Solanum lycopersicum: one gene and its partners. The protein of the gene in region 3 binds, or shares a complex with, the protein of the main gene of each other region. Links are inferred from orthologs where the notes say so. Each region holds a gene or a part of one and is shown on either strand. Other genes may lie near its edges. The genes, in order: transcription initiation factor TFIID subunit 5, transcription initiation factor TFIID subunit 10, transcription initiation factor TFIID subunit 1, transcription initiation factor TFIID subunit 15, transcription initiation factor TFIID subunit 11 and transcription initiation factor TFIID subunit 15b.

Region 1 (5,946 bases), on a different chromosome or scaffold from region 3:
GAACAATTTAAGTAATTAAGAACGTGGGAAATAAAAAAATATATCTAAATTATCCCTTTTTTTAGTATCACGCGTAAATTATTATAAATGTAAGAAACACACTTAAACTATCACTCGTATGTGTTTGGTGTATGTATAGTGTATTGCACGCACTATCTTTTTTTAACCAAAGAAAAAAAAGTTTGCGACTTTGAAAAAACAATTCCGTTAAATAAGTTTATAAAAGATTAAAATGAAAGTGGGCTGTTGATAAATATAGAAGTAAAAGGATAATATAAGAAGAATGAGGAATAAATTTCTTGTCTTTTACGTTTACGTGCGAAGACTTCTTTTTTTTTTTCATTAATTTTATTTATTTACTAGTATTCTTTATTAATTAAAAAAAATTGACTCTCATTCATCATAATTAACTCTTTAAGTATTTTTATTTTCTCCGGTACTAATTATTAATTTCTTGATATGAGTGTTGCCTGTTTATTCTTTATCAATTAATAAGTATTGAATTATGAACGTAATATAAATATTATCAAGATTATATTTAAATAGTAGCTTTAAAAAAATATATTCCCTTCGTTACATTTTATGTGACACAATTTCCTTTTGGTCAGCCTCCCCTCCCCCCCCCCCTCCCCAAAAAAAGAATCACATTTTCTTATATATGGTAAGTATTTAAATGTATAATTCATTTTTTACTCTTGTTGGTCCCATTTAATTTTAAAGATGGTACATAATACATTTATGAGGAGAGAGAAAATTGAGTTGACTTTTTTGAATGACAATTTAACAAATATTTCAAAGTCTTCATTATTTCTTAAACTATGTGTCCGGTCAAATGTTGTCACATAAAATGGGACGGAGGGAGTACAAGTTTAAAACTGATGAATATTATTATTAGAGTTCTTTTAATTTAACGATTCTTTCAATCCTTACCGACATTCTTGATAAGTAAGATGATTAGATTGAAACTAAAATTTGTATTCTCTTGGTTATATATTTGTAACACGACATAAAGTCAATGGAATATGAATATATTAAGTTAACACTATGTTTATGCAAGCTCAAATTTTGGTGTAAAAAAACTGTTTTTCCTCAAAGTTTCAGCAAATAAGGCCACCAATTCCTAAAAAAGAAATAAAATTTGAATTGTTTAGTTATCGCTGGAGGTTTGCTGATGTATTCGAGATCTATAAGTTTAAGAGATTTTTGTAATTTAATTTGAAAAAAAAATAGAAATAAGATGTAATTAGCTCGTAGTACTATGTAATTCGTGCAACTTTTATAATAAACAATCATTTTATACATTTCCTCAAATAATTATTGTTTAATTATCATCATCATATTTAAGACTTTTGAATTAAATAAAGTCCTTATTTGATTTAAGTAAGAATTTATGATATTTAAACTTCTAAATTAATTACCATTTTACCTTTTATAGTCAAACTTTACCAAAAAAATACAGCTGTTTCGTCTACATCAACATTTTTTTCATTTAGGTTTTGATTCAGGTTGCCTTCTTGCATTTGTTATCATCATCCTTCATTCAGGTTTCGATTCAGGTCTACCCCTTTTGAACAATTTCTTGTGTTTCTATTTCAGTTGAAAATTTGGAGAGAAGAAGCATGTCGCAGCCGCCGAAAAGATCAAATTAAATCTATCATGCAGGACAAATCAAAGGTTTATCTCTTTTCTTTTTCCACCAATCTTTTTCTACGGAAATGGTGGTTCTTTGATTGCCGCAAGATTTACTCCTTTTAAATACATTCGATAGTTTTTCTGCCATTTAAAATGTAACAATATATAACATTATTATCATAGTAATTTTTGTTAATTTGATTATTGCTCTTTTTTCTCTCTCTCTAAATGTTTTCTTAGACTACAAGTATTTGTAATAAATATTTATTTTATTATATTTGATTATAGTTAAAATAAAACAGATAAAAAGATCAAATAAGTAAATGATTTATATACGACGTGGCGTTGAATGCAAATACAAAAGAAAGAGAATGGAATAATAATTGACATTCTTTTTTGGTCAATAGAATTTAAAAGATTAATCATTTTTTTTTTTTTGAATGTGAGGAGTTTCTGATTAGCCAACAATCCACCCTATAAGCACAGTTCATGTTACCATCACTTGATGAAATTTACATTTAAGGCTAGGTGACGCCTTCTTATCACATAAGACTCTGAAAATAAAACTTCCACTTTCTCAATCTCATATCAATACGTTGGGTGTTACTTGTCAATCTTTCCGTTTTTAGATAATACATCCAAAATACTTGAAACTATCTCTCTTTTGGATGACTAGTATATCAAGTCTCACTTCTCCACATCAGCCTCATGCACCACATTGTTAAATTTGTACTTTGAGTATCCAATTTTAGTCATGTCCTCAGCCCGAATCATTCACTGTAAAGTCTATTTATAAATCTCTATGTGAACGTTAACTCCGTCGCTAGTCTCACCAATCAAAATTATATTATCTGCAAATAACATATACTGTGACACCCCACCTTAGATCTGCCATATTAATACATTTTTTAAATATTAATTCTTAGTAGTATTTCAAATATACATGATTATATACTATTGTCTCACCGGTTCACATTAGCATAAAAAAGTTTGCATCTTTTGACTCTAGTTTGTTGTGATAATCTTTGATTTTTGCTTCCGAAGATAAATAAATTTCTCACAAAATAATATATTATGTCCTTAAAAAACTTATTCTTCACTAAGCATATGGGTCCATTTAAAGGGCAAATCTTGTGATTAAGAGAGAAATTGGAGCCTAACCAAAAAAATATAAAACAAAACACCTTCCATAAACAAAGTGACGACGACGTCGTATTAAGTCCCTCCAGAAACCCCAAATCAAAATTCTCGGTCCTATAAACCCCAGGTGTTTTCTTCTTCTTCTTCCCAATTCTCAAAATCTTACCATTTCTCGCCATGGATGAAGAAGAGATTGAGAAAGCAGTCGTAGCGTATTTGAAGAAGAAGGGTTTCAAGCAAACGGAGATTGCTTTTCAAGAAGAACAGCAAGTGAATAAAAACAGTTCTTCTTCAATCCATAATAACAACAACTCAGCAAATTCTCAGATTGACCCCGACTTAACCAAAAAAATCCTTTCTTTCTCTGAGTAAGTTTCTTTTTTCCACTTAATTTGATGTAAAAATTACTGTTTGGCTAAGAGGATTAAGTTCTAAAATCAATTTACCTTGAAAGATAGTTTAATTTCAATGAAACACGTTTAAGTAGAGAAGGATTGAGTACAGAAGATCTGAAAACTAGTTTAGGGTTGAGAGGTGACTTGGTTGTTGGAAGAAAAGCAGGAGCAATATAATTGAAGCAGTTTTTCTGCACCCTCCAGTAGCATTTCTGCAAATGCCCAAATTGACCCTGAACCGTCAGACAAAAATAATCTGTTCTCTGTAGATAACATAAATTTAATTACTGGACCCATTCTAAAGAGGGAGAAATCAGCACTACTTGGTGAAATAGGTTCTTTTTGAATCAATTGTCCTCTTCTCCTGTATTTTAAATGCAGAGTGCTTAGCCATGAGGTTGCGGTTCTAAATAGCATTGACAATGCCCAGAACCACTTTTGAGGTACTAGCACACTGTCTAGGAATTGGAAAGAGAGGATCAAAGGAAATTTGGCGGAAGAATATCCCTGTTTGTATCTGGTGGACGTTATGAAAAAAAAAGGAATGAGAGATATTATGAAGGGAAGGGTAGCAGCACACAGAAGATCAAGATGAGATCTCTTAGTATTATATTTTTTTGGTGTAAGCAAGATTTAGTGGGGACAATAGATAGCTTAGTGGAGATTATAGGCCAACTGTAAATTTTTGAAAGTTTGTTTTTGGATTTTGAGTATGATGGCATCCCCTGGGGTTTGTAAATTCCTCCTCATCAGTCTGATGAGTTCTTTTGTGCGGATTTAAGTTACCTATTTCAAAATAAATAAATAAATAGAGGGGATGTAGAGGAGGATTTATGAGCTGACCCAAAGTCTCAAACTGTTTAGGATTGAGGCTTCATTAGTTGTTTCAAGAAGGGAAGCAACAATAATTGTGTGTTTGGTATGGAGGAAGCTTTGGTGTTATTTTACATTCTATTAGTGACATTACACTTTGGAGCTTCCTACTTTTAGAATATTACAGATATAGATGGATAGATGTTATGGCTCCGTTTTCACACCGCCTTACACTAGCTGGAAGTCTTGACAGCTGTATAACGCATACTTTCTGGTTATTTTCTTAGCATGCATCTTTGATATCATTCTGAATCTAAATTTTTATGTTTTCAGATTTGAAACCAGTCCCCAACGATACCAAGAAGAATATAGCAAACTTCGGTCATGGGCCTATAGTTCACTGGATCTGTATAAGGTTGGTCCCCTGACTTGTGCTAACAGTAACATGAGAAGTAGTTTATGCAGTATCATGATGCATAGCTCCTCATGACATGTAATGCACTAATAATAGGTCTGCCACCAGTAACACCATAGGAAATAAACATAAATGGAAAGGAAAGGCTTTCATTTTCTCTTTTATTTAGCCCTTTTTAATCCTTAACATAATGTATTAGTGATGTGCACCTTGACCTATTAATACTTCTGCTGCTGTCTTTCTGGCAGTGACAAGGTCTTCAAAATTGAGTTCTCATATTTGTGATTCTCAACTCTAGTTCATTGACTTATGCTATAAATGTAGCACCAGTGATGGATTTAGTACTGTCTTCTACCATTGCGATCATAATAGCGAGCCAAAAATAGCTCTTCATAACATAAGCATGACAAGCGTGCCGTCTTCATACAAGTTAGGTTGTGTGATTATACAAGCCAGATGAAAAAGTGATGAAAATGGTTCCATATGTTTGGTAGGTTCAAGTTGGTCCCTTAATACTCTTGAACAATTTTGGTCCTTTAAGTTCACCAAAAGCGAAAACACCCTTTGGGGGGGGGGGCAGTGGTTTGGGCTTGGGGCTTCCATTTTGGAGGTTTCAAGTTCGAAACCCCTTGCTAGCAAAAGCAAGGGTCCAGTTTAGAAAATCAAGAGATAATTTACCTTTTGTGTCCTTTGTTATTAAATACTATTTATCATCTAACACATTTTCCAGAGCATTAAATTTAATAAAGTCAAAGGATAAAATAGTAATGTTACCGCTATTATTTATTGTTTCTTAAGGGTGTGCTAAGTCAATAGTAGACAACTATTGTTGGACCAAGGGAGTAACATCTATAGTTTCAACGTTTGCCAGCTTGCTAATTTTGGTTTATTTTTGGAGGATGGTGCAGCTTTTGAAGTGCAATTTTGCCATCTTTTAATATCTATTGTGTGGTATATGGTTCAATTTTTGGTGTTGCAATTTTCAAGATAGGACAGGACTTTTTGGTGTTTTTGGTTGGATAGTTATTTTGACCATTCCGATGAAGTCTACCCATTCAAGTTCTGTTTAAAAAAAAAAAGGGTCCAACCACTTGAGTTCTGTTTCAAAAAAAAAAGTCTTAACCATCCGAGTTTGTTAAATATTTGTCAGAGACCAAATGCTCACTTTTGGCAAACTTAGAAAACCCAAATTGTTGGGGGGTATATTGAAGGACCACCTTGAACCTATACTCAAACATAAGGAGCCATTTTTTCTCTCTCTCCAAGTTAGACACTTCCTTTTGACTTACTCTTTAATCTTCAAGATTTTGTGGTTTCCTGTAATAGCTGAAGCTACCTTCCATTTATTTTTGTCCATTTCTGTCTACCTTGTCTCAGTCCATTCCAGATTGCCTCTCTCTTTCTATTGGAATTGAAGGATGTGCTGTGTGCATCTGGATTTTCTCCAATTCCAACATAATCTGATATTGATTGAAAAGAGGGAAGTTAAGCTAGCTAACGAAGGGGTTGGGATCCGCCTCGCCCTTAAAGATCCGCCCCTCGTTTCACTCT
Region 2 (5,954 bases), on a different chromosome or scaffold from region 3:
GAGATACATAGTAGTCAAGAGTTGTATCCTCCAACAGATATATAGCTTTTGAGAAATCAAGAGGATGACAACAACGCAATGACCTAAAACCATCAGATTTATGTGATCACAGAGATTTGTTAGCAGGCATTACATCATTCCTCTCTTGAAGCAGGATCTAACCCGGCAGACGGGCTATCAGCAAAGTAGTCTTGATGTTTGACGTTAACACCATACTGCAATGCAAATCAAAGGTTACGGAGAACACTCATATGCAAAAAGTATCGCTGAAGTGATAAAAATATTGGCAACGCAAGAACAGCCTTTTGGAGAAGAAGAAACAAGAGAGGTTCTACAAGGATGGACCACTCGATTGGTCAAAAGCATTATACAGCAGACTATTTATAGAATAAATAAGATGAAATTATAATGATGAATAACTTTTTATTATTTTTTGATAGGCCAGCAAAGAATGATTACCTCTCGTAGAGATTTTGAAAGATCATCCATTGTCAAGGTAAGGCGTTTGTCCTGCTAAAACAGAGTTAGAACCAATAAACATAAGAAAATGAAAAGAGAAAAAAGTGAAGCACCTTTTGCTGCTTATCTCTCTTGTCCTTGACAATAGTTGACTGCCTTGCCTTGCAATGTCTGCATTACCATGAAAAATAAGAAAGTTAATCTAATATAAGCTCGGTTTCCAAGACATTAACAAGAATTTCAAAATTCAACTATATTTTGTCTCAACACAAAAAATGAGGGTGTCTTTATCCTGGTCTACCCACAAGTCATCAACTTTCCTTCCTTCAACCACTGCCATCTTGTTGTCTCAACCATATTTCTAGTCTCTACACAGAATACCAATGGAGATACCCCTTGCTCCTGATATATCCTAACTTTCATCGACCTGCCTGCTTTCAACCACTGGCATTATGTTGTTTCTCTATTGGAATGGCCCGTTTCATAAATATCCATTTCTTTCTAAACATGAAGGATACATAAGAGACCATTCATAAACTCTTATTCTTTCTTCCGATGATAAAGCCATAATCTATCCTCAAAAGACTCACAGCATTTCATGAGTTTTACTTTCATTACGACTAGTGAAGGCAAAATAGTGAGTAAAGTGAGGCATTCACAAAATCTTGAGTCGATAACGAAACAAAACACAACTGATTTGTCACAGTTGAGAAGATCTACCACAATCCAGTAGAAGCATTAGGAAAATAACAATCCATTGGAAACATTAAGAAAGGAAGTTCAGAGAAAGTTGGATGCTTTGTTATTTGTAATCATATATTCTGAAACAAGGTCTTTCTACATGTCTACTCAAGTCATATCTTAGTTTCTTTATATTGTATTTTTCTGTTTCTTTGTCTCTTTTCTAAGGTTTTGGAGTGTCACAGACACAATAATCTCCTGAGGTAGTAGTATTATTGCGCTAACAATAGAGAATTTCAGGTGTTGTATTTTTGGTAGTGTAGTCAAGTTAGGGTCGGCAGTCTTTAAAAATATAACAGGCTTGGATTCTAAAATTACCAACTTAATGTTTCTAATTCATTAGAGACGAACCAAAAAGAGTTTTTTTAAGGTTTGGGGGAGGAGAACAACTTGAACACTTAAAAGTTGGAAGGATCATACAATGACAAACACCTAGACAGGCAACAATTGCATTGAAGCCTCAAGAGTAGGGGACAATCGATGAGCAATATGCCGAAGAATTAGCAGCATACTTAACATAAGATGGAGGAGGAAACAGAATTCAAGAAAAATAAAATAATTAAGAAACATACTGGAGAGCATCAGTAGCCACATCTGCAATAAACTTCTGAGTAGCAACTGCCACCAACCTTATTCTGCATATCCAAAGGAAAAACTCAATACAACAACACAGTATTAAAAACTGATAACATAAGATAAACCAGCCATCACTGTCAAACAAAACATCAAATGCTACAATATTAAAATTTACAACTTGTAAAAAGGTAAATACCAATCCAATTCACAGATATATAAATTTTACTTGAATTTACTGCTAAACCAGATAAATAGAAAACGATCAAAACAAAAACGGAACTAGAGAATACTGCCGCTTAGTCACTGTTTGATTGCTACGAGTATAAAGATATTCAGCTAATTGCTCATCTAATTTTCATAAAAATGGGTATTGCCTTGCGGCTCCACCAACAACCCACCAAGATGTTATATTATTGTTTACTGATGCAGGTTTACAGGTGGATACTGGACTGGCAAATATTGGTGTTGCAGCTCTGGAAAGCCTTGGAAAACTGATTCATGCCCATGTTTCCCCAATCCAGTTTGCGGGAAAAGCTATGACTGTTGAAGCACTTGCTTTAAGAGTGGCTCTTGAACGTACAATCAGGAACAATTGGAAGGATGTGAGAATCCTATTGGAAGCAAAGAGTGTTATTGATTATGATTCAGGAAAAAGTTAACTACCTCATGGGAGATAGAGGTGACTTGTGAAGACATTTGGAAGCTAAGAGCTTGCTTGATCATGTAGACTTTGTTCATATTCCGAGAAGTCTAAACAAAACTAGCACATAATTCAGCTAAGTTTTCTATTACTTCGTTGAAGGAAATATCTTGGGAGGACATCCTCCCAAGCTGGATTTTACATCATTATATGGGCACCTTTGCCCAATTTATTTGTTTGCTGCAGTAACATAATATCTCCCTTTGAACCCCCAGGGCTTAGCTCACTTGGCAAAAGTGTAGAGCTTTCGCTACGCCAAGCAAAATAAACGTAGGTTGAGGAGCGCGTTCATCGTATTCGAGTTTAAAGACTACGGTTAGCTCAAGACAGAGGATAAACCTAGTGAAAATAGTTCTAGATAAACACACGAAAATCATATCTTCCTTATGAGCAATCCAAACAATTTTTCTATAACTAATCTAAGCAGGCTAAATTGCAGAAACATCAACATAAGAATGGGAAGAAAATACATACAATCGAACATCAGGACATTGAAATCCACTTTTACCCAAGTAATGCTCCACCAATTCATCAGGAATCTGATCAAAAGCGTTAACCTACATAAATAAAACATAAAATTGATCTCTTCAGTAAGAAAAAGGGCAAAAAGTAGCTCACAGTGGGAGTATAGTCCATCAAGGAAGCAAGGAAATCGGCTAGAACAGCATCATCCTCGTGTCTTCCTTCACTTGTTTGTTGACCTTGACTTTGGTTCATCTTCACCGTCGAAACAGAGTCAACGGAGGATCGGCGGTGGTCGGAGTTTCAATTTCGCCGGAGGAAAATTGGGGAAGATTTGTGCCTTTTTACTTTGAGAAAAAAATCGGAAGAAGAAACTGAAGAAAAATATTCTAGTAATAGGTAAGTAAAATTACTATGGTTACGATAATTTAAAATATTTAAAAATATATATAAAAATTATTTTTAAACTCACATATTGAAAAAGTAATATTATTTTCCTTCTAGGATATAGAAATATTATAATTTTGATTATTTTTTAAAATTCAAAATTGTTTCTCCACAATTGTGCAAAAAAGAAAAAAAATGAGAAAAGGCCTAAGATAGAGGAGAATTGTATTTTTGTTATGTGAAATTCGTTCGCGAAGAGGGGCATATATATTTACCTAGCTAACGATAATATTTCGTAAAAAAAAAAATTATATTTTATTTTATTTTTTAAATTTGATAGTTCATAACATTTAAAAAAATTATAAAATAAAAATATAATTAAATTATTTTATTCTCTATCAAACCAAACGCAATTAAAATTTACATTGAAGTATATATATATATATATATACACACACTCATAATCACTTATGTTAGCCATTTTATTCTTCTCTATCATAGAAGATTAAAATGAATTATATTATTATTGAGTAAACAATTTGGATATTATTTGATAACTAATTTAATTACAATACAATTGAGTAACTTAATTGGTACTTGAATGATTTGGTAAGCACGATTATAAATCATGTTTCACAAATATGACTAATATCACATTTGATTTGCATCATTTGAAAGTTATATTAGATAAATATAATTTATAAATTACATATTAATAGTAACTCAATTTATAGATTAACTATATATCATATTCGATAGATACGACCTATAAATTGCATGAATAAGCATGATTTTTAAATCATATTTAATTACTATAAATTATCAAATATAATTAGTAAATCACAATAGATATAAAATCGCAAACGTCACATATGCACATACATTCGAGATTCTTCAAATAATTCATTTTCTAAATCGATATATAATTGATTCTACTCTTTTCATTCATTATATTAAAAATATATCATCAATTTTACTTTTTTCATTGAAAAATTTAAAAACGATCTATTTATTTTTTAGCAAAATGACTCTTATGATTATCGTTAGCTAATAAAACACGTATCAAATCGAAGTAACAATTTCCGTGAAAACATATTACTCGAAAACGAAAATTTTTTCTAACTCTTTGTTATCTCAACCAAAATTGAGTACAATTTCCCGAATCTCAAAATTGAAAAATTAAACCAAAAATGGAAGAACTCAAAAAAAAAAATAGAGAAAATTGCTCTGTTTTTTTTTTTTCAAAGCTCAGTAGCTTCATCAATGGCCGATTTGAGATTCTTCATGAGCTTGATCCATAGCTTCATCTTTCGCCTTCTCATCATCAAATTCTTCAGTTTCCTTTTCCAATTTCTTCTCAATTTTATCACCAGCACCAAACGAATTACCTCTACTCGAAATAGGCGTAGCCAAAAAAGTTGGATTCAAATCTCCAGCCATTATCACAACTATTTTCTCCTCAAAAACCGGCGACGCCTTGAAAACATCACCGGTCGATTTCTCGCCGTCGCCGGATTCTACATCGCCGTTTTCTCTCGGATAGCCGGATCGTCTCCAGTAAGAACAAGCTAGGATTACTAAAGCAAAAGTTATTAACACTAGCATGGACGCTACGCCGGCGAATAGATACGGCGCCGGCGAATGCCATGGCGATTTTTGAACAATCGCCGATGGAGAGACTGATGGAGAAGCAGTAGTAAAGGTACTTACTGTTCGCATTTTTATTTTATTTTCGAAGATGAAATGTCTAATATTTTATTTTTTCGATAGAAAAATTTATTAAATTTTTTGCGAGCGAAACGAATATTAAACTTTTAGAACAAAGAAAATAAGAAAAATAAAACTTAGCTTGGCTTGAGAAATGCAAAGATGGTATATGTGTGTATTTATATGAAACAAATTTAGTGGATGAATAGTGAAAAGAGAAAAAGTAAGTTAAAAAGAAGGGTGAAGTGATCAATAGGGAATCATAAAATTTAATGAGAAGAAAAAAATTTACCAAAATTATTATAAATTTCAAATTTTCTTTTTTGCATATCATTGTGATGTAAAAATATATCGTAAAATATTAGTTAAAGTTATTATCGTTTGACTTTGAAAAAGGAAATTAAGACAATTAAAAGATGGACGGAGATAGTATGATATATTGTTATCTTTGAAATTTCTTGTTTTTAAAAAATTATAAAAATTCATATTCGGATATCCTCTCGTTAAGTAAAGTATCATTTGCAATGTATCGGACAAACACAGAATGTATCTAAGAATAATGAAAAATTTAGAATTTCTGTAATTAGGAAAAGTTTCGAAGTAAAATGTAATTAGCCTCTAAATGTAGGAAATTTTTGTACTTTTTATACTAATAATATTCATTTCATATGTTGATGTTTGGTGATTCGATTAATCTGGATTCGTTTCACATGGTGTATGAAAAAGTAAGATAGAAATGCCATGACATCCTTAGCCTTTTTGAGGTGCTTTCAATCTCACGAAATATATATTAAAGTATATTAGTAACTCGTTCGACTCGATTAATAAAAAATAAAAAGATCGCATTCATCTCATTAACAACGTTGTTTTAATGGTAAAATAAACAAATCTTTCGTTTGAATTATTGCTATAGATACTAAGT
Region 3 (5,159 bases):
ATTGCATTGTGAAGTCTCAAGTCAATACTACTAAAGCAAATGTAACATAAGTTCTAAATTCAAAACAAAAAATTTAACATAATATTATTATGTCAAATTTCAACATAACATACATAAATATTATTTAAGAGAAAAATAAACTATAACCTTACTTAGCAATGAATTCTCTAGTTTAAAAGTTAGAATACTAACAAAATTATGCTAATGAAAAAAAAAACATTGTATAAGAAAATAGATAATATGTAAAATTGTATGGAATCACATGAAATAAAGGTTGAAAATGCGAAGGAAATGAAATATAAATAAAATAGAAAATAAATTATTAGGAGTTTTTAGAATAATAAAAATAAATTTTTTTTAAAGTATAAATTAAAGAAAATAAAACTAATAATAAAATAAAGAAATTAAAAAGTAATCAGCTTGTGGCTTGTAATTGCACCATGTAATTACCAACAATTCACAGTCCCTCCCTGGGAATTGGAGAGTATAATTACTCCTGCCAATTACACCCAATTACCTGCAAACCAAGTAATTACATGACCAACCAAACACATCAATAGTTGCACCAATTACACCAAATTCAATTACCAGGTGGCTTTCCAAATAGGCCCTTCTTTGTGTTATTATATCTGGACCTTGGTGTGTTCAAGCTCCAATGGGCTTCTAGGTCTTTATTCTGTTTTCTATTTTTTTTTTTTTGAAATTGGTAAATTGTATTCCTTCAGCATTAAGGCTATGCTGGCCACCTCCAAGTACTTTACAAAAAGAGAAGAGAGATACTCACAAAAAAGCCTATAAATTCCACTAATTGGATTTCCTCTTCTATACTCTGTTCTTTACACCAAAAACCTAGTAAAGTAATTACTTTCCACTTAATCTTCAAAATAGAGGATTCTTTTCCTTCAAAGATCCTCTGGTTCCTCTCCTTCCAAATGGTCCACCAGATGCAGGCTGGGACTGTCCTCCACCATATTTTTTGGCTTTTGCTTCCTCCTCTTCTGATAACAGCTAAGCAAGTCTGCAGTATGTTCAGGCATGATCCAATTGATCCCAGCAATGGCAGTGAACATAGCCCAAATTTGTGTTGTTACTTTGCAATGCATGAAAGGTGTTTGTTGGTTTCTAGTGTCTCCTTGCAGAGGAGGCATCTAGATGCTATGATGAACCCCCTTTTTTGCAATGCCTCATGTGTCAAGCATGCTTTCCTAGCTACTAGCCAAGTGAAGCATTTCACTTTATTAGGAGCCACACTTTCCCATATAGTATTCCAAGGTCCAGTTGACCTGCCTCCAGCAACACACAGTTCCCTTTTGTATACTCTGTTAACAGTGAGAATTCCATCATTGTGGTGTCTCCCAATGAGTTTGTCTGAATCTGTATTAATGCCCGGGAAGTTTCCTATTAGTTTTGGAAAATCTACTACCCATGGTATTTTCCAATCATTTAGGGGTCTTCTGAAAGTGAGGTTCCAGCCTTGAGGGGACCACATTTTCTGTATACTGCATCCAGTATTCAAGCTTATTGAGAATAGTCTAGGAAAAAGGGATTGAAGTGTGCCATGACCGCTCCAGTCCTCTTTCCAAAAAAGTATCTTGTCTCCCCTACCAACTCTAACTTTGGTGTTTAGCTTGAGAGTCGTCCATAGATTCCTGATAGATTTCCAAACCCCAACCCATATGTATTAGTCACTTTATTAGTGCACCATTGCCCCTCCGCACCATACTTATGAAGGATAATCTCCCTCCACAAGGCCTGATTTCTTGAGTAAATCTCCATAGCCATTTGGTAAGTGAACTCTTATTATGAAGCTTTAAGTTCCTCACTGCCAGACCTCCAAAACTCTTGCTTTGCTGAACTGCGCTCCATTTTACCAGGTTGAAACTTTTCTCAATCTTGCTTCCTTGCCATAAGAAATCCCTTCTCAACTTGTTTAAGATTTTCCTCACCACACCAGGGATGGGGGATAAAACATTACATATGTTGGCAGAGAATCTAGGACTACATGATCAAAACAACTCTACCTCCCAAGGAAAGGTATTTTGATTTCCAAAGAGCTAGTCTTTTTTTTGTTTTCTCTATTATTCCATCCCAAATATTCACAGCTTTGTGATTAGCACCCAATGGCATCCCCAGATAAATTGTGGGCAACTCCTCTATCCCGGACCTCAAAATACCTGCCAGAGATTGAATTTGTTGCACCTCTTTCACTGGAAAAATATTGCTATTCCCCCAGTTAATCTTCAACCCAGAGCAAGCTTCAAAGATCACCAGTATCACCCTTAGGTAGCAAATTTGTTCTTGTTTAGCTTCGCAGAAAATCAGTGTCATCAGCATATAATAAGTGTGTCACCTCCAAGATTTCATTGTTCCTGTTCTTAATGCTAAAGCCTTTTATCCAGTTGTTTGTTGCAGCCCTTCTCATCAGACTGCCTAGCCCTTCCATAGCTATGATAAACAAGAAAGGTGACGGGGGTCCCCTTGTCTCAGACCCCTTTCAGCTGGGAAAAAACCCAGGATGGAGAACCTGGTAGTTTTGATACAGAATTCTATCCACTTATTCCACCTTCTCCCGAATCCCATTTGCCTGAGAATGTTCAACAAGAAACTCCAGTTCAGGTGATCAAAGGCCTTTTCAATATCTAGCTTGCACATAACTCCAGGCACATCTCCTCTAATCCTGCTGTCAATGCATTCACTAGCAATAAGAGCAGCATCCATTATTTGTCTCCCTTTAATGAAAGCCATCTGGTGGTTTTTTACAACTCTGCTTATTACCTTCTTTAGTCTCTCAGCCAGCACCTTTGCTATGATTTTGTAAACCCCGGAGATTAAACTAATTGGGTCTGAAATCTCTTACACTGGGTTTTCATCATCATTCTGAAGCACACGGTTCAGTGTTTCATAGAGCTTACACTGGGTTTTCATCATCATTTTGAAGCCATTAGGCTTAATTCGACCCATCTTTTCTTTCAGAAGTCATTTCTCATTACTTTTCTTCCCTCTGTTTTATTAAAACAGATTATGATGAGAAGGCTGAAGATGCTGTAGATTATGAGGACATTGATGAGCAATATGAAGGACCTGAGGTACAAACTGTTACCGAAGAGGACCTATTGTTGCCGAAGAGGGATTACTTTTCAACAGAAATCTCTCTAACTACTTTGGAGAATCGTGATTCTGTTTTTGATGATGAAAACTATGATGAGGATGATAATGAAGAGAAGGAACAGGAGGTGGTAGAGAAAGCTGCTGAAGTTCAATCTACTCCTGTAAAAGGTTAGTTTAAAAGCATTTTTTTCTTGGGTACTGGTGTTTCGTAAATGCTTTTATGTTGTTACAAGTATTGATGACTGTGCAATATTTTGGAGTGTAAGTTTACCTTTTGATATTTTAATCTCTTCACTGATTTCCACTACTAGATTTAAAGGGCAGTTCCTCATGTTAGTTTGTTACAAACCTCAGTTCTATTACAGAAAGTGCTGCTCACCTATAAAATGAAATTGAAAGCCGACATAACCCAGAGTCCCATCTATAAGGGGGCATCAGAAAATAAAAGTAGAATTGTGAAAGCAAGATATTATCCTAGAAACAGGATAAAAAAAAGTTGATCCTTGAGATAAATCTTTGTGGTAGGTTTTTTTCGAACTCTTTTTCTGTTGCAGCTTTCTGTGCTAAATTTCATTTTTCTTCTAGCTTTTTGGTGAAATAAAATTGTTTGCAGCAGCTGTGAACAAGTCTATGAGACAATACTTTTTTTTTGGTGAGAGGGGGTCTTATGAGGGAAAGATCATGGGGGCGTTAGATGCCTTGACGCTACGGCAGGGCTCTGAATGAGCAGATAGATTTTGCAGTGGGAAGAGGTAGGGAGCTGCGGATAGGATGGACAGTATGTGAATTACAAGAGACATATTGCGTACTTTTATTCTATTTTGCTTCAGCTTTTATATTTAGGGAAAAGGGCCAAACTGCTCTTCAAGCTGATATCACATGGAACTAGTCGAGGCGAGCACAAGCTGGTCTGGACACCATGTTTTTTTTTTTAACAATCGCTCTCTGTTTGAATTTGGTCCCGAATTTGCCCTCATCGTTGAAGTACTTCCTCAGATTTTTGAGAAGAAATACTTGCTCAGATTTGCCTCTTAGAAAAAACGAAATTCACTCTTTCTTTTTCAATCATCTTTTTTTATTTTAGGGCCGAATATGTATTTAACTTCTGTCGCTGAAAAACAGACCCAAAAAAATATAAGAAAAAAAAGGAGATGTAACTTTTTTTCTTCCGAAATATACATCAAAACTAGGCACTTTGTGTTATGTATTGGATTAGTATCTGTTATCTTTGTTTTCCATCTCAAATATTCTGGACAACACTATCAAAGAACATTACTCCTGACCGTACCCTTCTATTCAATAAAAAAAAAGATCTTAAGATATGAAAATTTGATTGCTTTCCAAGATCTGTTGAGATATGAGGAATTAATTAACGACAGGGAGATTACTGTTGGAGGAAAAGGAATAAATCTTGGAGTTGCATTATTTCAGTTAAATATTTCTCTTTGCATCTTCACGTTAGACCTATTTGTCATGTTCTGTTTGTAGGAGAATACAACAATGAAGCTGAAGTCATTTCTCTTGGGAATAAGGTTCCAGAAGAAGTTATATCCATGGATGCTCCCGAATCTAGTGAAGATCTTCAAGAGGTTTGCCCTTTACAAATTAATAAGAAGAACTACTTATCATTTTGTGATCCTTTTATTCTGACTTGTAGCATGATGTGCATGTCATCTCTTTCTTTCTCACTTCTTGTCCTTTCCTTCTTGTGAAATAGGTCATCAAACAATTGATATCTTTGCGTCACTTTCTATTTATGATCAAGGTTTTCAATGGCTTCTTGAGATTTTCCTGAAATAGCTATTTGAGTAGTTCATAATCTTCCATGACGATAATTTCTTTTAATGCTCGAAGATTGATGATGCTAGTTAATGCATTTTATAAATACCTTGGATTATTGTATTTATAGTGGCTGAAGTACTCAGGGCATATGCATTTTTATGCAAGTTAAAATCCTATAATTTCTGGTGGACCTCTCAGTATACAAAACTTAGTTTTACTTCTGTTTTCTTTTCTTCACAGTTTATCACTATTGGGAAGTTGACAAGTAT
Region 4 (5,597 bases), on a different chromosome or scaffold from region 3:
TAAAACCCAACCGTATCTATTTCTAACAAGCACGCCTTTATAGGAGAACACAAATTTAAACCTACCAGATACCTGAAGACTAGACTAACTTCAAGATTAGTGCAATAAGGAGAATACAAAGTCTGATTATGCTCGGAATGGTTTTTCTATGATAAGGTATAAGGAAAATGGAAGTGCGTGCAGGGAATATGCTCAGGCAGTTTACGGGTGAAAAATTATACTCCCTCTGTCCCAATTTATGTGACGCATTTCATTTTTTGAGATTCAACCAGTTTAAGTTATACCAAGAATTTGCTCATGGAATCTTCAATTTTTTTTAAAATGAAATTTATACATTTGTAAACTACGTAGAAAGTACTATTAGTTACAATAATTGACAATTTTAAAATATTTAAAAGGTATATGAAAAAATTCCGGTCAAAGCTAAACTTGTTTGAATGTCGAAATCCGTTATGTGTCTCATAAATTGGGATAGGGAGTATCATATTTCAATAAAATAGGTTGCAAAATGAAAATGAAGATTCTTACATCGGACAAGCCCAATCATTTGGACCAAAGAGGCCTGGAGGACCACCAACTGCACGACCAGGAGCGCCTGGGTCCTGGCTACCACGTCCTCTCCCGCGACCAGCAGCTCCAGCCCCACCGCCACCAGCACCAGCAGGCCGAGCAGTTCCACAGCGGTTGCAAACTCCACGAAATGCAAAGTTCACATTAGTGCAACTGCTATACATTAATTACAAATACTGTAAGCACAAAAACATATTGGACTACTCGAAGTAAAAACAGACAATTGAAGAAGATACAGTAGAGCACGAACGAGCTGCTCACCAATGATCATATCACAGACCTTGTATTTGGACACAGCCAGTCACCATCTTGTTGCCATGCCTTTGCAGAAGCATCTCCCCTGCCCCTACCTCTTCCGCCACCTCCATCTATATCGTTGGAGCCTTCATCCAGCACAGCCAGACCACTGTTCAGATTGGGCTCACTAATTTGATTCACTGAAACATAGGAAGCCTCGTCTTTGTTCTTAGACTCTGCAATAAATACCCCAATCATTGACCCATGAAAATCCTTGTTATTGAACCATTCAACAGCAGCTAATGCAGCATGAGGGTCTTCATATGTGACTGTGGCATCGCCTTTGGGCTCATTAGTAACTTTATCACGGTATAACCATATCTTGGGCCTACCGCTTCGTTTGTCTTTCTACAACATGAAGCAAAACAAATCCTTAGAAAAGAATAAAAAAATCAAAGTGATCTGTTCAAAGCAGAGTAGGGGGAAGTGGGAGAGAGCATATAACAAACATTCTCGAACATAATTAGAAGTACCTGTTCACAACCATACCTTTAGCACCCCTATTGTGCCAAAATATTCAGCTAGCATATCTTCATCTGTACCAAGGGGCAAGTTACAGACATACACAGAACCATTTAATGTAGATCCTTTCCCTGAATAGCTTGCCATTTATGCTCCAATTTCATCAAATCCAATGACACAATAAAAACCCCAAGAACTGCATAAAGCAACAACCTAGTATTAGTCCTGCCACAGTTCCCCTGTCCTTAAAAGTAACTACAGGCAAATCATATTAAACTGAGAAAAGCACCAGAGTATGTGCAAGTCAAAGGACCAAACCAGAAGAAATGAAGAGATAACTAAAGAAATTTTTTTTATATAAGATAGGGTGTAGGGAGGAAGTTGGGACGAAGCCAACTTTTAAGTGGTGGGATTAGAGACAAATGCCACTTGGCAGTAAATTTTCCAAAACAGCTGGAAATTGGTTAATGTTTTCTTACTGCAATCTTGTAATACATTAAGGAAAGAGCTAAGTAGTTATTGTCCTTTATGAGTATAGAATTTCAGGTCAATGGGCTAAAAGCACGTGTAGAATACAATACTTTCGAGTATACCCAATTTGAGAACACTACTAGGGACCTTCACATGTCGATGCCTGTTAATTTTTGCAACAAGTTGAGAAAATTATCAGGAACTCTGATTTATCAATCAATCAACTACGTCTTCATCCCAAACTAATTAGTATTGGCTATATGATCCTTCATATCTCTCCCGCACTATTTTTTTCCTTATCAATGATGTTATAAGTACTTGCACTAAGTCAGTGCCACAAAATGTAACTAAAGATTGAGATTTGAGGCATTGAGCATATCCACTATTGCATCTAGGCTAGCATCTTCATCATGTTCAATAACCAGTTTGCACTAAAAAGATCGAAAAAAGTATACAGTTTTGTTTAAGGGTATGTCTGATTCTTCAGTTGCCTAAGAAAAAATCTGCTATTTCTTTCAAGCCATATAGTCCACCAAATGGCTCAAGGAATGCTATTCCAAGTATTTGGGGATTTCTTGCACAGCCTGCTCTCTTTGTTCCAGCATTGCAATAGCTCAAAAATGGAGAACAATACAGTGCAAGACATGCTAAACATTGACAAAAACATGCACCATAACCAGAACAACAGGCTTCAAAACAAAAGCTTACTAATCAAATGGCTTTGGAGACTCAAAGATGAAAACTAAAGTATCAATACCATATGTGGCAAGGAGGACCAGTGGACTCCTAAAATCACTAATAACTAATAGAAACTACTATTTGGAAGCATATTTATCCTTATTAAAGGTAGTTCAACTCTTTTACTAGCAGAGTTGTGGGAATCGGCAAATGCATCAGATTCTGACTGGATCACTAGTTAGATATTGTGATACTAAAAAATGAGGTCCCTACTTCATTAAATAGGAAGTGCATGATAAACTGATGGCTGTTTGTTTCTCTAATACTAGATAACATCTACAACTTAGAAGTTAGAAGAAACCTCAAAGATTGGGAAAGACTAGAGAGTTATGAGTTTGGTCTTCTAAAGAGGTTCTGCAACCTGTATCTGCAAAAGATATTAATATTAATTCATTGAAGTGGCTGGCTAGAAAGAGTAGACTTTACTGTAAAGAGTTGCTATGATCTACAAAAGCAATCCCATGATTGAGATATGGATTAGCCTTTGAAAATTATTTGGAAATCAAAGGTACCTCCAAGGTAACTTGTATTGGTAGAGTTGGAACCAAAAGCAACCAGGAATGCCTGTATTCAGGACAATCTTGAAAGAGAAGGTGTGTCCTTGTGCAGTAGATGTTTCTTCTGTGAATGTTACCAGGAAAGCAGCAGAAACCTATTTCTCTATTGTAGTCAAGCCTTGCTAGTTCAGTCATTTCTCAATTTGTTTGCTGTCTGTTGGGATATGCCAGGAGATGTATAGTGGCAAGGACAGAGATATCAAAAAATTCAACAAAGTTCGAAAGATTGCTCCTTCATGCATTTTCTAAACTATTTGGACCCGAACAAGAGTTGATTTAAAGTTGATGAATTTTACCATAGCCTATCATGTTCCGATAGGTTGATACAATAAGGACAGCACGTATATTTTTAATGACTTTCATCTTACCCTATCGAAAAGGAGATGAAACCCACAACACATGGAAAAAAAATATATTTATAAGTCTTGAATCTTTTTCAGTGTGTGAAGGCAGGCAGATTGGCAATACATAGAATTTAGGAGCCATTAATAAGAAAGTAGTATGTAAATTCGAGTACAATCCACGACGAACTATACAAGTTGGATTCTAGGGTTTGTTATACAGTGAGATTACAAGCGAAGCAATGCAAGTCATGAGTGAAAATGGAATTAGGGTTTTAATTTTGACAATAAGAATCTAGAGAGGGACTTACAACTCGATTACGCCGGGGCTGTACTGAAGAGATCCACCGGAGAACAACGGAGAGAGAGCAATTTCGCCGGCGCCAACTTCGCCGTATAATAAGAGTGCCTTTGAAATTGGGGCAGAAACCAATAAACAATATGTATTGTGTTTGGGTTGGGTCCATTTTTATCCATTGCACGAATTTGGGCCTAAGAGTTCAAAATCCATTTGAGCCTAGTGCACAAACAATTATTTTTTTGAAAAAAAAAATTAAACAACTACACAATATTTCTTGGACAACTTTCACATATAACAAATATAAAATTCTTAATTTTATGCAATGACAAACTTTTCAAAATTACATTTCGTAACAAAATTGTAGTTTGCTACGGATGAATAGCTGTTTGGTGAATTGTATAATTAGTATATTATACAGTGCAGAAGAAATTGTATAAAGTAAAGAGAAAAGAGAAAAGAAAAAGCTTATGTTTGTAAACTCAGAAGAATTACTGTTTGGTGAATTGTATAATTAGTATATTTATACAGTATAGAAGAAATTGTATAAAGTAAAGAGAAAAGAGAAAACATATGTTAGCAAACTATGGATTTATCGTTGTTTGGTGAATAGTATAATTAGTATATTTATACAGTGTAGAAGAAATTGTATAAACTAAAGAGAAAAGAGAAAATTTTTGTTTTTATATTTATATTTATATAGTGAAGATTCAAAGCCCATTTGGATAGACTTAAAAGTAGCTTTTAAAAAGTACTTTTGAAAATGTTGGAACTTATTTTTAAAATACGCAGTTATGTGTTTGGCTAAAAGTGCTGAAATTAAAAAAAGGTTGTTGATGTGTTTGACAAATAAGTGCTGGTAAACACTTTTTTAATCAAAATGTCTAAAATACCATAAATGTTGTGAACATGATAAAAGTTGATTAATTTACGATTTTTATACTTCAAAAACTGAAACAAAATTAATTTATATTTTACATCCATCAGTAATTATATTTTGCTATCATTCACATATTTCCTTATTATCATAAATTGTGTATAAATAACAATAATAATAATTATAATAATAATAATAAATAATAATAATAATGATTTAATATGAAAATAATAATAATAATATAATAATAACAACTATTATTATTATTATTATTATTATTATAATTATTGTAATAATAATAATTATTATTATTATAATAATAATATATTATAATAATAAATAATAATAATAACAAATAATAATAATAATAATAATAATAATAAAATAATAATAATAATATTATAATGATAATAATATATAATAATAATAATAATATAATGTTATTATTATTGTAATTATATTATTATTATTATTATTATTACTATCATTATTATTATAAGTATAATAATAATAATAATGATAATATATAATAATAATAATAATAAATAATACTAATGATAATTATAATAATAAAAGATAAAAATAAAATATTAATTATAATATTAACTATAATAATAATAATAACAATATATAATAATAACTATACATAATAAATAATAATTATAATAATAATAATAAAAAAAATATGAAAACAACAACAACAACAACAGTAATAATAATATAATAATAATATATAATAATAATAATAATAAAGAATAATTAAATAAATAATAATAATAGAATAATAAAAATAATAAAATATTAATAATACTAATACTAATACTAATACTAATACTAATAATAAGGGAAAATGCACAAGTACCCCCTCAACCTATGTCCGAAATCCCAGAGACACACTTATACTAAACTAAGATCCTATTACCCCCCTGAACTTATTTTATAAGTAATTTTCTACCCCTTTTTAGCCTACGTGGCACTAGTTTGAA
Region 5 (5,699 bases), on a different chromosome or scaffold from region 3:
TAATAAAGTCCTGCTTTGTTTGGATATAGCTATTCGACAGCTGTGTGTGAGACAACAACATACCCAGTGTAATCCCAGAAGTGGGGTTAAGGAAGGGTGATGTGTACAAGTTCACCCCTACCTTGAGAAGGTACAGAGACTCTTTCTAATAGACCCTCGGCTCAAGTACGACTATTTTGGTGCGAGTTGCCCATCCCTTAATAGGGAGGTACTGGTGGTACATAGCAGCCACCACTGATCGGGTATAAGAGAAAAATGGCAAATGGTTTTTCTATTTTCTAGTGGAAGTAGGAGATACAGCTAAAGAAAGGGCTAGGCTGCAGCAATTCAAGCATCTAAAAATACATATGTGATAATTGCTTCATATCAGAGATTCTACTTTACTTGTGAATGACATCTGAAATCACAACCTTCAACTCCCATAGCTTCATAATTATTCTCTTGTTTTTTTTTCTTCTTTTGGGATGAAAGCATCCATCACCCTATAACTGTTATTGAAACAGGAGACATTTCGGGTTCGAATGACGAGGAATATTTTGAAAATGTATGTTGCACCAGAGAAGTTCGATCTCTTTTTATGCTTTCACATATTTGGAAGGAATGGGAAATAGATAGCAAATAAAGTTTGACAACATAGAATAACAAGTACGAGACTTGAGAAGCCAAATGTCTACCTCCCTTCACCTACCTTACCTCAAAAGGAATTTTACCTCTTTTCTTGTAGTGTCATAGAACCTCTATTAATACCAGGTAGAGCGCTGCTGATTATAGGATAGAAAAATATTCTAAACTGAGCTCACGTAAAAACGAGGTGCAGACCCTAGATAGGAAGGCCTGGAGGTCGAGCATTAGAGTAGAAATTTAGTAGGTAGCCGCGTGTGGTCGCCCGTTTGGTGGGAGAGGCAATGCCATATCCTCTTCTCCTTATTAGTAGTAGTATTTAGTAACTCGCATAGTTTCTTATTTTTCTATGTGTTTCTACTATTTGTTGCTTCATTTTGCTATGTGTCCTGATATTTTGTTTTCATGTTTTCTTATTGCAACCCTTCAATGAATAGCTTCCCTTTTAAGCCAGGGATGTATCCAAACAACCTCTCTATCCCACAAAGGTAGGGGTAGGGTCTCCGTGCATCTTACCCTCCCAGAACCCACTTATGGGATTATACTAGGTATATTGTTGTTTAACAAGGAGGTGCAGAAGAAAAACTTTAGCATAACAAGTATATATATAACTGCAATGTACAATTCCCATTTTATTGGCCTTGACCACAATATGGTTTCTTCCATACTAAATTAGTTATTCTCCATATTGCCCTTACTTAACAATGCTGATACAAAATGTCAATTTATTATTTAACAGCTACTATATTTCCTACTGGTGTTTATCTGCAGTAAATCAAGCATATCAAGCTAGATGAGATCTGTTCACAGATCTCAATAGAAGCATTGACCTGCTGGTTATATATACATACTTTTTGTTAAAAAAAAAATGATACAGCAGATATACTGAGGGAATACAGCATACAAAAGAGAGTTAAATTAATAGTCTGAGTAACAAATCAACAAGGAAAGAAAGGAAGGTGAGAGGAAGGGATAGAAATCATCAGAAAAGGAGTTATTCTTTTATGCAAATTGATCAGTAGGCAGGTCCAACCACCCACATAAGCTATCACAGAACAGGATAATAGCATACAATCTTGACAATCTTCTGTGAATGGAATCCTTGTAAACAGAAAGAGTTCGAGATATTTGAAAACATAAACTGACAAACTTACTGCATCTTCGCCAGTTTGTCAGGATCACTACTTGATGAGAGTTTTCCTAACTGCACATCCATGCTTTCTTCCTCTTCCTCCTCATCTTCCTCTTTGGGTTTGCTAATTGGACCAGCAGTACTAACAGAGACTGATGTAGCTTTAGATGTTGAAGGTTTTTCACGAGAATCGGTATTAACATCGTCACCTTCATTCATATTAACACCAACTGCACCTTGATCTTGGCCTTCATTCTCATCGGTTCCAGCAGGGGATTCAGGGGGTGAGTCATCCTGCTCCTCAAAAGTAGCCTCAAAAGGATCCTTAGATCGCTTCATAGAATTCGCTGCACCAGAATGTTTAGATTCAAGTAAATTATTCACCATGCTAATCATTCATCCATTTTGATTGAGATATACCAACTTCCAACACAATAATGTGATATGTTCAAGACAATTTTTTAGGGAGGCATGGTAAATTATAACTAGATTGATTTGGACCTCACAAAATGGCCACACTCTCCAACCAGGTCGATTGATAAATTAATGGAGTTGAACTGATGCAGCTCAGATATTCTCAAATCAAATGATCATTGCAAGGATGAAAAAGATTAAAGCATTCGGAAGGAAGGAAAGTAAAGATAAGGATGAAGCAACAATGTCAAAGAAACATTGTTGAAGTTTGAACTAGAAGCTACACCATCCTTCAATATGTCTAGATTAAGATAAAAATGAAATATAGAAGACAAATACTGTACTATTTCATGTTATCAGTTTCAACAAAAAAACAATGTACTATTTCAAGTGAGACCAAAAGGTTAAGTAGTTGTCTACTTGCGCTGGTACATTTTTTGTTATATAACTGCAGTTATTGCCCTGTTAAATTTTCATCAACGAAGCAATGATAAGATATCCTCTCTTCTTTTTCATAACCGATAGGATCCTGCAGTCTGTTGTGGTGTATAATGGGCTCATTCCTTTACCCTTCCCACTTAAATACCAGGCTTTTCCAACAAAAGGGTTTGAACACGTAACTTACGCCTAACCACCACATCACTCAATAACCAAAGCCCTGGTGGGTATACAAAGACATCCTCCCGGTACATCCTAAGTCACAAAACTAAGACTATAAGGAGTCGTTTGGTATGATGGATAAGGAATAACAATTCCGAGACAAAATGCAGGACTATTTTATCCTGCATCTGGTTAGGGAAATTAGTTAGTCCCGAGATTGTTTATCCCATCATATATATGGTAGGATAACTTTGTCTATCCCATTCCCTGTACCAAACAACCCTTAAAGATTCAAGCTTTGCATGTGATTTAACCTAAAAACATTTCCAAAACTAAAGTGTGAACAGCTATAGCATGAAACAGGCCTCCCCTAATGGAATGGATCGGTTCTGCCAACGAAATAAACACGGAACAAATCTAAGGTATGTGAACAGCTGTAGCATGAAATAGGTCATAAACGGAAAGATTTCCAGCTGATTTCAAACAATTGAACTGCACGAAAGCTAGCCCGGACACCACGATTATCCAAAAAAATTGTTCATTGCAATATTAGGCAAAATCATAATTGATCAATCCAAATAGAAAGAAAAATACCTGGCGAGCCAAATTCTGTGATACTGATCTCTCACCAAAGATAATTCCGGCGAGCGTGCCGGCGGCCGGTCTGAAGAAATTTGACGGGTCGATTTCGCTGATGTGGTTGTGGGTTTAAATTGGATTAGCTCATGGGTCGGGTCGGGTCGGATTTGATTGGATTCATGAATTAGGGCAGTTCAAGCGGACGGAAACAGATAATCCCAATAAAAAAAGGTTATTGCCTCTGATAATAAATTATTGATTTAGCGGTTTTAATAACGATTTTGATTTTTTTTAATTAGTGAGATATTAGTTTTAATGATTTGAAATTATTTTTTTTAATGGATTAACTAATAACTTGATTGTAAATTAAAGAATTATATTTATACAATTTAGTAGATAATGTCCTTGATTTACTATATAAATTTATCTTTTTTATTTTTGAGTGTCTCAAATTCTCGATTATTCAACAGTGATGTGATATGTGAACTTACATGTCCACTCATTTTGTTCGTCACAGTATTTTTAAGTGATTATTTTAAATCAAATCTTAACGGTTAAACAAATTACCAAATCAATAACAGTTGATAATTAATAAATCGATAACTGATAAGTTAATATTTTAATAGTTCTAAAATAATTTAGCACATCTCTAAATCAATAACCAATAAACCTCAAATCAAACGAAATCGATACGCAACCCTTCATTTACCTTCTTGCAATTGTGGCCAAACAAATCACAGATGGTTTTTTAGTAATGGGCCTAGGATTTTAACCAAATTATTTTCATTTTGGCCCATATACAAGGGAGAGCAAATTAAATGAATATCACATACTTTAAAAACATTTTTAGTTTTGTTCTTTTATGGTTAGTAATTAGAATTTTAATATTTCTTTGACTAAGTACAAAGAATTTTGTTGACCAATTAATCAAATCAAGAAATTTATAAAAGAAAATCACTAAAAGTCTAAAACAAGACTATTGTAATAAATTTTTTTCTTTTGAAAGTTTTCAATGCTAAATGCTATATAAGGTTGTGTACGATAAAAACTAAGAAACACTCTAAAATTCTTAAAGGTTTTATTATTTTACAAAAAGATGGACAAAACTTCGATTATGGCACTTTTTGTTGTTGCTTTCTTGATTGCTTCTTGTGGTTAGTCTATTTTGTTTTCCTCTTATCATTTTTCCTTCAGATCAGTTGATTTTGTAGTTCTTTACTTTGTCAATACGTATTATAAAATGTTAACAATTGTTTTATAACTTTTTAGATGTGGCGACAGGCATGAGAAAATGTAGCACAACAGATGATTGTAACAATCATGAAAATATGTTTCCAAAATGTATTTGTGTTGATGGAACATGTGTATGCAGCTCACTCAACGCACATTCTATTGATCATGAAGATAGTGGTTCAAGTGGCAAGTATTAACCTTGAAAAAATTATATTAAAAATGTCTCATTTGATATTGCTTACATGATGAAACATTTGCAATAAAATATTTAGTTGGTTGCATCATGATATGAATTTTTTTTTGTTTCTTTTACTATTTTAGATCTTGAGTTATTTTCTCCGTTTAATTTATTTATCGTGATTATTATTAAAAGAAAGAAAATAAAGGAGGAAAAGATAAATATATTATTCAATTTATGATTTATAATGAATATACTCTTCGTTTAAAAAATTGGGAATAATAACTAACTTTATAAGCTTGTCTAGCTGTTACTTCTACATGTTGAAAAAAAAGGTGTGGAGTAGAATGAAAAAGATAATGATTAATGAATTCTATTAAATTAATTATAAAATACAAATATGTTAAGACCTAAATTAAAGCTTTATTAATAATAATGAAGCATATACTAAAGTCAAAAATTATTTTATTCACATATTATGACCAAGACATTGTGTGTATAACTATGATCCACTCGAAATTATGTTCTTTTAAGATGCTAACGAGCTTTATAATTATTTTTCAGATGTGGTGACAAGTAATTATAAGATTCATCCGTGTAATGATTCATTAGAATGTGTCGATGAAAAGAAATATATGATTGAATTTTCAATTTGTGCTTGAGGGGCATGCAAATGTGTTTGAACATTAAAAATATAAGGCGGAATGGTCTGGTAGACCCTCGTACTTGAATCGATTTGCATTTTGAACCTTTCTAATTACTCCTTTGTCATCTGGACCCCTAAACTAAATAAAACACAATATTTGAAACTTCTTTATAATTATTTGTGTGTGCGTGTATTACACTCAATTTACACATGAATTCCACGTCATTTTTTAATGACACGTCGGTATTATTATTATTTTTTAATGACACATCAGAAATTAAATATTTTAAAATAAA
Region 6 (3,764 bases), on a different chromosome or scaffold from region 3:
GAAAAGTTTGTCCATCAAATTTCTAACTCAACGTCACCATCAGACTTTGAAAGTTCAGTGTGGAAACTAGATATCCTTTCACCTTAGAAGATTGTTACATGGTAAGATGAAAATACTCAAATTTTAAATTTATGAATTTTAAATATATTTGTGGAGACCTTTTATAAAACTCACATGTTACATGCGTAGAATTTTATTTTTTGTATCTGTAACAAGTTTTACATTCGTTTGTTTTCTTTTCTAAAATACGAGTTTGGGTGCATAGCCGTTTTGAGCCCAACGGGGGATCGCAACATGTAAGCTTTCGACCACTACGTCTACCTTATTCCATTTGTACGACTATTTAATATATAGTATTTTGTTATAGATTAGAATTCCTTTGTAGTAAATTTGTTTTGCCTTATTAACTTGCACTGCTTTCTTTTTATTTAATACTACCACTTCTAGTCGAGAATGTATCAAAACAATTTCTCCACCTCGGATCTATATCCACACTATTCTTCACAAACCCACTACTTTTATCAAGGTCTCGACAGCGAGAAATTTCAGCTGCACTTTGAACGAAACATCAGATACACCATATTGGGTATTATCACGAATTGCACCATTGTCCGCCGCCTTCCTTCAGGAGACATTAAAATCATCAAAATCTTATTTGCATGGTAACTTGAGAGATATCAGAAGACCTTTCTTCACACATGATGTCCAATCCCCAACTCCCCAATAAACATAATATTTAGATCGACACATCAGAGTCTTAACAATACGATAGCAGAACAGTGCCTCCAGGTTGTAGGAAAACAATATCTTACAACCGTTTAGCCTATGAACCATTATTCAGTACAACATAAATGTTCTCAAGACCTTCTTAAGGATTATTAAAGGTTAAAAACATTGTCTAAATGCTAATTGACTGAATAGTATGAATAATAGAATAAGCCAAGGTCATACAACTAGAATATCCTACTACCCACTAAAAAGTACTCATTTGTTGTACCAAATTTGAAAATGATAAAAACAGACACATGGCTAAAAATGGGGTACAAAAAACCTGCAGAAGTACCAAAATGAAAATTCAAGCTACTTCCAATGTATGCTCCACACAAAGAAAAACTATTGCCACTCGGAATTTTATTTAGAACGACAAAAAAATTGGACACTGGTCCTATTTCCTGTGAATAGATTGAGAACCAACATGCAAGCACTCAGACCAAACAATCAATTTACAGTCTTGTTTTCTCAAATTGTAACTAACACATCATCATTATTTGTATAGCTGTGTGGTCGGATGTCTTTTTTCTGATCCAAACATTAATCCCTACAATTAAATTACCAAGTACTTCACCATTGTACTCCGCCATTCATGCTGAAAAATGTGTTTAGTACAAGAGACTTGTCCTCCATATTCTTCCATGGAAGAGAAACTGAACTAGCAGATACACAATAAAAGAAAACAGTACAAGTAATTAACAGCAACATCATATAGGAAACAAATTCATTATACAAGGGGTCTAGTGCAGAGATGCTAGCATTTCCAAAATGCAAGCAAAATCACTTAAAGAGACCAAACATCATTCAGCTTAAATTACCAGAGTAATCGGTTTTCCACAGTAGTAACACTCACCTGAATATTTCACCTACCTTAGCAGCAATTTGCAGAATATCCAATCGCCTCTATCAAAACATTCAACATATCAAAAAAGGTTCTGAACTAGAAAACCCCACCCCTTACGCAACCCCAAGTAGCAGAAAGAAAGAAGAGAAGGTGGATATTGCTCAAATGGAAGTGAGTTAACAGCCTACCTCTTTTAAGTCACAGAGAGTATATCTTGAAATGGAACTAACTAAAAAACCCTCCCACCACAAATTTTAGTACATAAAATGCTCGACTGGAACTCAATAAGGACGTGAACGATTTCCACCATGAAACTGTCTATCTGGGCCGGAACCTCCACCGTCTCTGTAGTTATCCCTGCGCCCGCCACCACCACCACCATAACCTCCGCGACCGCCACGGCTGTCAAAGTATAGACAGACATGAGCATAAGAGATATATTTACTATACAGGTTAGCACAGGGAGTCGTAAGTTCAGCATACACAAAAGGTCCCCCATCCCATTTATAAATTTAACCCAACAAATAACAACATAACCAGTGCAATCCCACAAGAGGGTCTAGGAGGGTAGTAGACTACGCAGACCTTACCCTATCTCGTAGAAATAGAGGGGTGGTTTCCGATATACCCTCAGCTTAAATAAAGCCAGCCAAATATATCATTAACCCGATGGAACTATATAATATAAAAGAAACAACATATTCTTCATTCAATCCAATAGATTAAACATTTTCTAAACCTTGAGCCAATAAAATATATAAACAGTTCTAAATGGCAATAGAAAGAACATAGGGCAGGAAGAATGCATAGGGTGTCAATCAGCAAGTGGATTTTCAAGTAGCAAAAATGGACATCGATTAAAAACACAATTACAACATACAACATGCAAAAAAAATTACAAAAACACTAATTCTTGAAAGCACTATTGAAATATGTAACTTTACAGTTTTACATTGAAATATACATAGATGATGCTGATGAATATATTTTTGCAGGATAAAGAAAAAATGTTTACTAATGAAGCCACACAATTATGATTAACCGGGTTCCCATGCACCTCATAAAGGACAAATGTAGTACCAAGTTATAGAGATGAAATTTGATTGCTTAATTCGCTTTTCTCTGGGAACAAATCAATGTATCAATGATGTTAACAATTTACTGAAAATAATTATTGAAATTAAACTTCAATACAGACACCCTATGCGATCAAGTATGAATTTTAGGCATGCAACTTTAGTATGAAATTTGGCACAGCAATTAGAGTCAACATCAGATGCAAGAACAACTCTGATCATCTACTTGATAAACAACCAAAACTCTGGAGAATTCATAAAAATAACCATACATCCACTATCTAGTTAAACACACTTGCTAACTCTGCATACATTCCACAGCATAACCACTAAGACATGTTGTGAGTTGACATAAACTGTGAATTGTAGCACAACTGGAGGTAAAATGCAATGGAGTAGAAAGAGTATGCAGTAATTTAAGAAGGCTCACCCAGAACCAAATGCCGGAGGCGGCTTTGGTGCAGACTTTTCAGCCATCGCTACAGTGATTTTGTAACCTCTGAAGTCGTGATCTGATGATGATTATATTTTATGGTCAGCATGTAAATAATATACTGCGTAAACTCAATTGAATAAATTTGGGTCTAGTTTGTACTATTGAAAAAGCCGCCGGCAGAGTGAGCTGCAGAAGGATCTTCGTATGACAGAACTGCATCTCCTTTGTTATTTCCTTGATCGTCTGTGTATAGCTTTATGCTCCAAGGCCACTGGTCTTTGTAACCTCGTTTTTGCTTGATTCTTGCAACCTACACGTTAAAAAGAAACTTAAGCACTTACCCTGGTATATATGCTAAGAGAAAGTCATTAAAAGTAAGCTTCTTTATTGTCACAATTCAATGGCAATTAGTCTGCAAAATCAAGTAGCAAGTATTGGGTTGTCCTTCTGTCTAAGCTCAGGCATCAATACCACATTAACACAGCAAGGGTTCACGTGAAGTTAAGAGAAGAACAACGTAAATGCTACAAGACAGAATGAATCTGATACTGAGAATCATAACCGAAAGAAATCTGCATATTACTTGTCCAATGCTCCCAAAAAGTTCTCTAAGTTCTTCGACGGTCACATCAGGAGG

What was found.
Region 1: transcription initiation factor TFIID subunit 1 (region 3) and transcription initiation factor TFIID subunit 5 share a complex: the UniProt entries of both Arabidopsis thaliana proteins name them as parts of the TFIID complex. The link is inferred for Solanum lycopersicum from reciprocal best matches to the Arabidopsis thaliana genes HAF01 and TAF5.
Region 2: transcription initiation factor TFIID subunit 1 (region 3) and transcription initiation factor TFIID subunit 10 share a complex: the UniProt entries of both Arabidopsis thaliana proteins name them as parts of the TFIID complex. The link is inferred for Solanum lycopersicum from reciprocal best matches to the Arabidopsis thaliana genes HAF01 and TAFII15.
Region 4: transcription initiation factor TFIID subunit 1 (region 3) and transcription initiation factor TFIID subunit 15 share a complex: the UniProt entries of both Arabidopsis thaliana proteins name them as parts of the TFIID complex. The link is inferred for Solanum lycopersicum from reciprocal best matches to the Arabidopsis thaliana genes HAF01 and TAF15.
Region 5: transcription initiation factor TFIID subunit 1 (region 3) and transcription initiation factor TFIID subunit 11 share a complex: the UniProt entries of both Arabidopsis thaliana proteins name them as parts of the TFIID complex. The link is inferred for Solanum lycopersicum from reciprocal best matches to the Arabidopsis thaliana genes HAF01 and TAF11.
Region 6: transcription initiation factor TFIID subunit 1 (region 3) and transcription initiation factor TFIID subunit 15b share a complex: the UniProt entries of both Arabidopsis thaliana proteins name them as parts of the TFIID complex. The link is inferred for Solanum lycopersicum from reciprocal best matches to the Arabidopsis thaliana genes HAF01 and TAF15b.

Annotation. Positions count from the first base shown.
Region 1 is NC_090805.1:43,575,476-43,581,421, forward strand, and holds the start of transcription initiation factor TFIID subunit 5, read left to right. Parts: upstream 1-2,599; 5' UTR 2,600-2,949; coding exon 2,950-3,140; intron 3,141-4,313; coding exon 4,314-4,395; intron 4,396-5,946. UniProt on the Arabidopsis thaliana protein: TAFs are components of the transcription factor IID (TFIID) complex that is essential for mediating regulation of RNA polymerase transcription.
Region 2 is NC_090811.1:67,584,826-67,590,779, forward strand, and holds the start of transcription initiation factor TFIID subunit 10, read right to left. Parts: upstream 3,566-5,954; 5' UTR 3,194-3,565; coding exon 3,095-3,193; intron 3,016-3,094; coding exon 2,951-3,015; intron 1,836-2,950; coding exon 1,773-1,835; intron 631-1,772; coding exon 573-630; intron 511-572; coding exon 460-510; intron 216-459; coding exon 135-215; 3' UTR 1-134. Other genes in the region: protein GLUTAMINE DUMPER 2, read right to left, coding at 4,586-5,044. UniProt on the Arabidopsis thaliana protein: TAFs are components of the transcription factor IID (TFIID) complex that is essential for mediating regulation of RNA polymerase transcription.
Region 3 is NC_090806.1:3,247,838-3,252,996, forward strand, and holds part of transcription initiation factor TFIID subunit 1, read left to right. Parts: intron 1-3,018; coding exon 3,019-3,276; intron 3,277-4,596; coding exon 4,597-4,697; intron 4,698-5,159. UniProt on the Arabidopsis thaliana protein: TAFs are components of the transcription factor IID (TFIID) complex that is essential for mediating regulation of RNA polymerase transcription. Core scaffold of the TFIID complex.
Region 4 is NC_090810.1:45,838,317-45,843,913, reverse strand, and holds the start of transcription initiation factor TFIID subunit 15, read right to left. Parts: upstream 3,902-5,597; 5' UTR 3,748-3,901; intron 1,526-3,747; 5' UTR 1,477-1,525; coding exon 1,357-1,476; exon of another isoform or gene 1,341-1,356; intron 1,216-1,340; coding exon 851-1,215; intron 727-850; coding exon 529-726; intron 1-528. UniProt on the Arabidopsis thaliana protein: TAFs are components of the transcription factor IID (TFIID) complex that is essential for mediating regulation of RNA polymerase transcription.
Region 5 is NC_090804.1:5,060,464-5,066,162, forward strand, and holds the start of transcription initiation factor TFIID subunit 11, read right to left. Parts: upstream 3,570-5,699; 5' UTR 3,362-3,569; intron 2,101-3,361; 5' UTR 2,093-2,100; coding exon 1,776-2,092; intron 1-1,775. UniProt on the Arabidopsis thaliana protein: TAFs are components of the transcription factor IID (TFIID) complex that is essential for mediating regulation of RNA polymerase transcription.
Region 6 is NC_090805.1:50,538,983-50,542,746, reverse strand, and holds the end of transcription initiation factor TFIID subunit 15b, read right to left. Parts: coding exon 3,711-3,764; intron 3,438-3,710; coding exon 3,287-3,437; intron 3,204-3,286; coding exon 3,122-3,203; intron 2,018-3,121; coding exon 1,897-2,017; 3' UTR 1,464-1,896; downstream 1-1,463. UniProt on the Arabidopsis thaliana protein: TAFs are components of the transcription factor IID (TFIID) complex that is essential for mediating regulation of RNA polymerase transcription.